Linked DNA regions of Caenorhabditis elegans. The gene in region 1 interacts genetically with each later gene. Each region holds a gene or a part of one and is shown on either strand. Other genes may lie near its edges.

What was found. A genetic interaction does not mean that the proteins touch.
Region 2: of arf-1 (region 1) and daf-12, changing one suppresses a phenotype caused by changing the other (phenotypic suppression), as found in Caenorhabditis elegans (one study listed by BioGRID).

Annotation. Positions count from the first base shown.
Region 1 is NC_003281.10:5,714,158-5,718,076, reverse strand, and holds arf-1 (ADP-ribosylation factor 1-like 2), read right to left. Parts: upstream 1,963-3,919; 5' UTR 1,962-1,962; coding exon 1,814-1,961; intron 1,741-1,813; coding exon 1,630-1,740; intron 1,531-1,629; coding exon 1,322-1,530; intron 1,237-1,321; coding exon 1,159-1,236; 3' UTR 533-1,158; downstream 1-532. UniProt on the Caenorhabditis elegans protein: Small GTPase involved in protein trafficking between different compartments. Modulates vesicle budding and uncoating within the Golgi complex. In its GTP-bound form, triggers the recruitment of coatomer proteins to the Golgi membrane.
Region 2 is NC_003284.9:10,642,462-10,647,473, forward strand, and holds the start of daf-12 (Nuclear hormone receptor family member daf-12), read left to right. Parts: upstream 1-1,978; coding exon 1,979-2,089; intron 2,090-3,376; coding exon 3,377-3,436; intron 3,437-5,012. UniProt on the Caenorhabditis elegans protein: Nuclear receptor which binds directly to response elements in target gene promoters. Activity is modulated by binding of steroid hormone ligands that include dafachronic acids.

The DNA of each region.
Region 1 (3,919 bases):
GTCTGGGAATAGTATCAGGGTACATTAGAAGCACTGTAGGATTACTGTATTTTCAGTGTATTACGTGAACACTGAGAATGCGCATTGAGCAACATGTTCGACGCGCAAAATATCTCGTAGCGAAAACTACAGTAATTCTCTAAATGACTACTGTTGCGCTTGTGTCGATTTACGGGCTCGATTTTAGAACATAATTTATTTTCGAATTGTGACCGAAATATTTGAATTTCATCCTATTTTTCTTTTTTCTGTCATTCCGAGTCAAAAAGTGAAAAAGAACAAAGCAAAATCAGACCATGGCTACAGTAGTAATGTAAATAATTTCTGTATTTTTCGCTACGTGATATCTGTGCGCCAGACAAGTTGCACAATACGAAATTCCAGAATTTAGTTTTTCCGTATTAAAAATTTTTGCACATAGTATAACGCCTCATGTGTTAATAAATTACCCTTAAAAATTAACATTTCTTGTCCAAATTGAGGAAAAAGATCATTTTCATACTTTCATATTGTCATTATCAACAGGTGAATATAACATAATAATTTACTCCACGACAAAAAAAATGGTGAATATGATACTATAATACGGAAAAATTGAGGAAAAGCAAAACAGTGTTCGATACGAAATAGAAGAGAAGCGAAATTAAAGGTTCGAGGGGAAGGGAACGATGAAAACGAGATTTGTGTGTAGGTTTGTGTGCAATTACGCGCAAAAATCACAAAAATAGAATAATGGTTCAACAAGAGAAGAGAAACACGTTCATACTTCTTCTCGTTACACAACACTGTTTCAGGGAATATTTGAGGGAGATGGAGGGCGGAGCAGGTCAAAAATGGAGAGAAAAACAATGAATAACTTACATATTATTCCCGTCAGGAGCGGTTCCAAATGTAATCGGATAAGAAAAAATGTCGGATTTGGAAGTTAAGAAGAAATAGACGACAAATGAATTGGGGCTTTAAATAAAAATTGGGTTGAAAAAGTAGAAGAGGGCGATGGTGATCAAATTAAAAAGCCTAAGGGATGGGAGAGGGAATTTCAAATGGAACAGAGAAGAACAAAGAGAATGAATGGGGAGAAGAAAGGAGTTGAAACGAATAACAAAAACGGATGATTCGTAGTCGTTTATTCGTCGAAGGTGGATTCAGAAAAATGATTTAAGATCTATTCTTGAGCTGGTTGCTGAGCCAATCGAGTCCTTCATAGAGACCATCTCCTGATGTCGCACATGTGGCCTGGAATTAATTTATTATTGAAAAATAGTGAATTTCTTTAGTTTTAAAATATCAGATGAGAAACTGCTGATTAAAAATATCTCACCTGAATATACCACGATCGATTTCTGAGCGAGTGGAGCCCGAGCTTGTCAGTGACCTCAGCGGCGTTCATGGCTTGTGGAAGATCTTGTTTGTTGGCGAAGACCAGAAGAACGGCATCACGAAGCTCATCCTCGGCGAGCATACGCATCAGCTCTTCACGAGCCTCTCCAACACGTTCACGATCGTTGGAATCAACAACAAAGATAAGTCCTGCAAGAAAATATAATCAATAGAGCATTTTTTTTGGACAGTCTGTGAATTCTTGCGGGTGATAAGCTGATCCGCAAACTATTCTCGTAAATCACTAACCTTGTGTGTTCTGGAAATAATGCCTCCAGAGTGGACGGATCTTGTCCTGACCTCCGACATCCCACACGGTGAATGAAATGTTCTTGTATTCGACAGTCTCCACGTTGAATCCTGAAATATGAATAAAAATTATGACTCATTGTGAACCGTTCTTTCGCAACAAAAAAACGTCCCAATGACTCACCAATAGTTGGGATAGTCGTGACAATCTCGCCCAGCTTCAACTTGTACAAAATCGTAGTCTTTCCGGCAGCATCCAATCCAACCATCAGAATACGCATCTCCCGTTTGCCGAAGAGGCCTTTAAATAAGCTGCCGAACACGTTTCCCATTCTATAAATTGATTAATAAATTAAATTATTGAATTTCAGAAGAGGAACCGATGGAAGTGAAAAGGAACGCTAATAAAATGTGAAAGCTGAATCAATAATCTTCGTGGGAAATTGCGAAAAATTCGGGAAGATTTCAAATCCAATACGTGAAAATGCCAGCAACGACAATCGGAGAAAAAAGTACGGAAGACGATTGGAAGGAGGAAGAATCGGGTAAAACGTGGCAAGGAGATGGATATCTATAACAGGCGCAAGGAGCGAGAATCCAGCAGAAATACATCGGCTACACCGTCCAACGTGTCACTAGCACAGCAGTCTCTGGCGACCAGTGGAGTGTCTCTTCCTCTCTCAACCTCTCGACGCTGCTTTTTGTCTTGTTCGCTGGGCGCGTCGCGTGCGTTGCGCAGCGGTCGAATAAGAGGAGATAGATGGCAATAAGTGAAGAGACCGAGACGTGAAAGTACCGCAAGAGATGAGGAGAGAGCGAAAAAGAACAAGAGACCGTCCAAATTTGTCCGCTAGTGCAGGACGGAAGGATGAAGAACACATACACACAGGAACGAGAATAGTAATGTTCGAGTTCCTTCTACTGACTCCACGTCAGCCGTACGTTGAATCTTTCAATCCTTCAGTGAAATCTTGATTGATTGATTGAATGAACCCGAAAGTTCTAAAATTTGAACTTTGAAACAAACTTTTTCGAGTGATAAGACGATAAACTGCAACATTAAGAAAGTGATGAAAAATGCTTTTTGAGAGAAGAAAAACCTATTGAACGCGAGCGCATTGTTGAGAAATTTTGAAAATCGTGACGCAATTAAAAACTCTGAAAAAAGGACACGTGTCACAAGAGTGCAGCACGAGATACTGTGACTAATAAATAGAATCAGATGAGAAAATTAATATTAAATCAAATACAAAGCGCCAAACTTTCTAAATAGATGACCCGCATTTCCGACTAAAGCAATGTGGCGCTTCTGAAGAATGTGCTGGAGAAAAATGAAAGCTTAATAGAAACCGGCCGCCGCAGACAGTATAGATCAATGCCTTTGCGCCAATCTAGGATAGTTCATCTTTCCGCCTTTCAAAATGCCGAGAATTTCTTACTTTCTGCAGTAATTATTAGGAGTCACAAACCTTGATTTTCGAGCTTTTTGCGTTCAAATTCGGAAATAAATGAAATGACGATCAAATCAAAGATAAAATGTGACGATTGCAACGTCGAAGCAAGAAAAATTGGAGGAATAAAGTTAAGAAAGAACAAAGAAAAAAAAAATTAAAATCATTTATTTTCTGGCAATTCACGGCTAAATACGACGAAAACACACCGGTTTCCGCAAAAATACCTGTGTTTTATTGAAAATTAACTCGTTTTTTACTCGTCACTCGGGAGGGGCTCTTTTTGTACTCGTTCACTTTTCAGTGGCCCGTCTTTTATTCTTTCGCTGATTTTTTTTCGAGATCACAGCCATTATGTATTCTTTTACTTTATTTTTCTCATTTAGTGGAGTTATTGCTCTCTTTTGCTCTTTTTTGCTGGCTTTTTCATCAATGAGATATATCGATAGAAATAATGCAAACAACAAAAATGAACGAAAAAATAATGGGAACTTGTCAAGGAATCAGGTAAAAATCAATAATCATTGCGATTCTGAACAGATCACATGACAAGTTCTTAGCCAAGAACAATAAAAAATGAAGATGAAAAAGTATTGCCAAATGGGCAGTTAAACTGAAGACAATTAAAGAATGATAAGAGAGGAAATGTGATAAATTATAATGGATATACAATAGAAAAAATCGAAACAGTTTCTGATAGGCAACAATAATAAACGGGAAGAAAAATTGAGGTAAATCTGAGGTTAAATAGGCTAACCAGCCAGATAACTAGAAAAGTAACCATTTGGAAACAACGAGTAAGATCACCAAGACAATATTTTGAGATCAAAGTTCTAATA
Region 2 (5,012 bases), on another chromosome or scaffold:
TGCAGTGGTTCTCGTTTTTCGTTTCGTTTCTCTCACTCTTCCTATCTTTTTTACTTAGTTTCCCTATCCGCGACAGTCTGATCCTTTGGTTTTTATTGCCCGTTTAGAACTTATTTTAATTAATTATCCTCTTTATTTTCAATGTTTTGTTTTGTTTGAACTATTAATGACCATTACTCTTTCTAAAGTGCACCCTATTGCGTATTTTAAAAATTTTTTCTTGCAACATACCCACCCTAATGCTCGTTTCGCCTTCCCACATTTTTTCCACCATTTCTGCGTCTCATTTTCTTGCGTGGGCATCCGCGGTCCCTCTTTGCCCGGCGCCTCTTGGATTTTGCTTTTTCTTTTTTTCCCTGGATGTTGCGTCTAGTTTTATCTGAAATGACCTTTAGGCACATTGCTAATCGTATTTCATTTTTTGGTTCCTCAAATTATTTTTTTTGAAAATAATTTTATTTGTCTGATAAGTGATCTTAAATGTAACTGATATTTTTTTAAAGTTGGATTCAAAATGAAAACATTTTCTAAAAATGGTTTTTTCAATTTAATTTTATTTAGTATTTCAGTACTTTCCTTTTTCCATTAATCAGTTGAATAGGAGATGTAATTTTTATTAAGTTTAATTTTACATTTTGTATTAAACTTATTCAAAAATAATTAATTTTTTTCCCTAAGTTAGTCAAAAATATTTTTTAAAACTTTTTTAATACTTTTGAGATAAATTTTTAGATTTTTTATTTCACTTTCGTGATTGTTCCATTTTGCAACATTATTCTGCATCAAAATACATTTTGAAAACATTGAAAGTTCTTCAAATGCCGCAACTCGATTTTATTTTAATTTCATCAATTTTCTTGGCCGAATATCAAATTTCTATCTGAAAATTAACTCAATCTTTTTGTTTTTGACTCAGAATTGAGTGCACCACAACTTATTTTTCAATTTCTTACATTCTCTAAAACCTTTTTTTGTTCGTTCCGTGCTGTTTTATTTCAATATTTCACCAGAAATGCATATTCTTCTCAGTAGGTGCAGTTTCATGTGTTGAGTGAATGAGACCACGACATTTTTTACAATTGTTCCGCTTTTTCCCTCCCCATATGCCATCTCAAATCCAAATTTCAAATGCCTTCCTCTCCAGCTTCTCATCTTTCCAATTTAGCAATTTTTCACGTCAAAATGAAACGAATCAGATTTTTGGTGCTAAGCATTAGGATTTGATGAAACAAACACACTATAATCAGAAGTGACAGATTTTCAATTAAATTTTTAGAGATAAATACATAATTTATCAATTTATGCGTGCCAGCAAAAAGGCAGAAATAGTATGAACAGCAGAGTCTACTTGAGACTAAATCTTAGTTCTACTCATCAACCAAGCGGATGAAAACATGATAATGAAAATGTACTTTTATTTCAGTTTAAATTGTAGATATCCACGCACCAGTTAACCCAGTTATCTGGTTTGTTTGTTTTTTTTTTGCTGGTCGTCAAGAACAACTTTCGATGTAGATAACTTTACCGAGCTTCATTCATCAAAAAACATTTTTTTCCCAATTTTTCGTTACAAGTTATAACTGTATATAATATCTAATCAAAAAGAAAAACTTATTTTATAGAGAAAGTTTTGACGAGATCTGTTTTGCCTAATCGAGATGTTTCAATTTTACAAAACTTTGCTCGCAATCAGTAGATATGTTTAAAATTAGCAGTAGCAAAATTTTTTTTTTTCGACTGTTCCACGCAAAAAAAAAAATCACAGCAGAAAAATGACAAAGTATTCACAAATAACGACCTCCCGTCCCCGTTCTTGTGTCTCTTCCGATCTTTTCTTTTGTGGCTGTTGATCACCAGTGTGTACTTTGGAAACTTATTCCTTGCTATTCCATGTTGCTCAAAATCTTGCTTTACTTGCTTTACAAAAACATAATGAAAATTTTTCAGCGCACATTTCGGCGCAACGGGCGCCAATTAAATGGGCACAAATGGAGGAGTCATTGCGGAACAGTCAATGGAAATCGAAACAAATGAAAACCCAGATAAGGTAGAGGAGCCCGTCGTGAGAAGGAAACGAGTAACCCGCAGGGTAAGTGATTTCTAAAATCTCACGGCTTTAAAAAATTGTATACCGAGAAGAGCCAGTACAAACTGTGTAAAGCAATCAAAAATGTGAAAATTAGTATAAATCGGCAAAAAGGTGAACAAATTGGATATTTACAAGTTATTTATAACAAACTTAAAGTTGAAACCGTATTTATAATTTTTTTCTCATCAGCTAAACAGAAGACCAAAGTATCAATAAAAGCTTGTGGGAATAGATGCAGAATAGTCTTGTAGAAATGACCTTTTTTGCAAAATATATTGCATCATTTTCACAAGAATGTGTTAACATTTATGTTTAAACCTCAGTTATTTTGTAGAAGTTTCGAACAAATGGTATTGAAATTTTCTTAGAGTTGATACTCATCAATTTTATTTAGTCTTAACTTACAAAGCCACTTCAAGCCTATCTACTGGTGTCAGTAAAAAAACACAAAATATGTAGTAACGGCATATCATGGTAGAACAATTTTCAAAATGTTCTCAATTTCATATTTGGTTTGAAAACTGAAAAATTCGACCATTCTGGTACAATCGGCATTATGAAACAATGTCCTCTCTGCAGCTATTTCCCCTTTTCCACTCAAAAATGTGTCGGAAATAAAATCTTACTTTCTAAAGTATTCGTAGAGCTTAAACGTTTAACTGTTATAAGTAACACATAAATATGTCTGCTTCTTTCTCAAAGAACAGCACTGATTTTAGAACGTTGACATGTCATCTTCGGCGGTCTGTGTCTAAATGTTCGATTTGTAGCGATAAGCGTTAGAGTGGCCAATATTTTCTGAGAACAAAAAGGAGTCATATTCTTATCATCTCTTTTCGTGCGTTTTCTATCTTTTGTGTAACCGTACCCTCCCACCACTTGTTAGCAGCAACATTTATTCTCTCTGAATTTCTACATCAAAAGTGCAATTTGGGGGAGTTGAAAACTGTTCGACCCTCCCAGCGCCGAAATCGACGGCTATCTTAACGGGGCGCCGAGATGAAGTAGGCAAAACAGATCATTGCAACAACACATACAATCGCCATCTATACTCTCACAGTGCCATGTATAGTAACTCTTTCCACAATTTCCACAAACTTCCATTCTATCCAACTCCATATTACTTTTCTGCTGTTTCTTACGAAACTCCTATTCAAACGTCAAAAACTCCGGGTTCAGCAAGTGTAATTGATGTTGAAAAGATTGACGACGATGATAAATCGTCAAGCCCAGCAAGTGTAATTAAAAATATCATAAATAATATTTAAATAATTTTTTTTATTTCAGCGCCACAGGCGGATACACAGCAAGAATAACTGCTTGACACCTCCAAACAGCGATGACGACGTTAGTTTGTTATTATGTTTTTTCAATCAGGTTAGATTATTATGACTTGACTCAACCATTGCACCAAGATGAAACTTTTTGTTGTTTTTGTGGTTGGCGGTAGTATTCTATAACTTTAAATTGCTAAACGATTTTCTTTTCTTCAATCAAGAATCTTATTGGATTTGAATTATTGGAGCTACATATATTTTCAGTTCATTGAATTTAATGCTCTATATTTTTGTGTGTATTCAGAAAACATGGTGTTAACAAATGAATATAATAACACTCTAAAGGACATTTAGTTATCAAACTTTAATTCAGTTTTAGAAATTTGTAATAAGCTTCTATTATAAGTTCAAAAAGTTCCATTCTGATCCGATCCTTCTTCTTATTGATTGTTTCTCATCAATTAGTCTTCATCTCTTTTTCGAAGTTCGGCGTATGTTTTGTGCAGCGTTAAACTCACGCCATTTTGCTGACGGGGAATTGTTTAGAAGTGAGTGGAGAGGAAAGAAGAACTGATGTTCTTGAGTGTGATGTGCTCTCAACATTCGAGAAAATGATGAGAGAAATTTCATGTGTTGAAGATACAAAATGCGCTCAAGATAATGGTGGACTTTTACTTCTACATCTAAACGCTTTTTCAATGAAACCTGTACTGGAAAAATTCGAAAGGAAAAATTCTGGAAAAGTCGTTCAGCTTTTACGATACCTGAAATAAATGAACTCATAGTGAGCTCTAGTTGAAATTATTCGGACCAACTAGGTCTGAAACAAAGAAGCTGTATTCTTGCCAACAACGATCAAAGTTTAAAGTCCAGTGTCATCATCGTCATCTTCAATATCTCAATTTTCATCTTCAAACAATCAACCTATCCACAACCTGTTCGGAACGCCAAACTACGGTAATCAGCGCCGGTGTTTTGATAAAGCGATAAGCATAAGTGCTCACACTTACTTCTTACTTACAATTAAATTCGCTTCCTTTTTGGGCCGTTCCAAGGTCAAACGGTGAAACACACGCACCGTACATATACACAGGACGCACTGAAGTTTTTGCTACTGCTGCCTGTTGTGTCGTCGTTCGGCCCCGATTTTTTTAAGTGTGTGTGTTCCATATTACCGCAAAAACTTGGGACCACGCCTCTCACAACACCTACTTTCTCAATTATTCCGAAAACAACAATGAAGTGCTGATGATACCATTCTACTATATACTTCCGGACGTCTATACTTCATTCCGAACACAAAAATCAAAAAATGACACTCGAAGCAAATGTGGCGGCACTTTCGAAATTCATGTCATTCGACAAAATGCTTGCAGCATTACGGGTGAGTAAACGTGAAGATTATTCAAATTGCCTTGAACAATCCAGAACAAGTAACCGTTTTTGACTCATTATTGTAACACTTTTTCTCAATCTTAAATGTTCAAACGTTCAAGTGTTCTTTTAGTTTGCAATTCCCACAAGTTTGGACATGTAGTTGTAAAATGTCAGTCACGCTTTTTCAAAATTATTCAATTAGTGCTCACGAGAATCAGTGAGCACCACCACATGATCTCCTTACACTCATCTCCTTTATTTTTTGATTA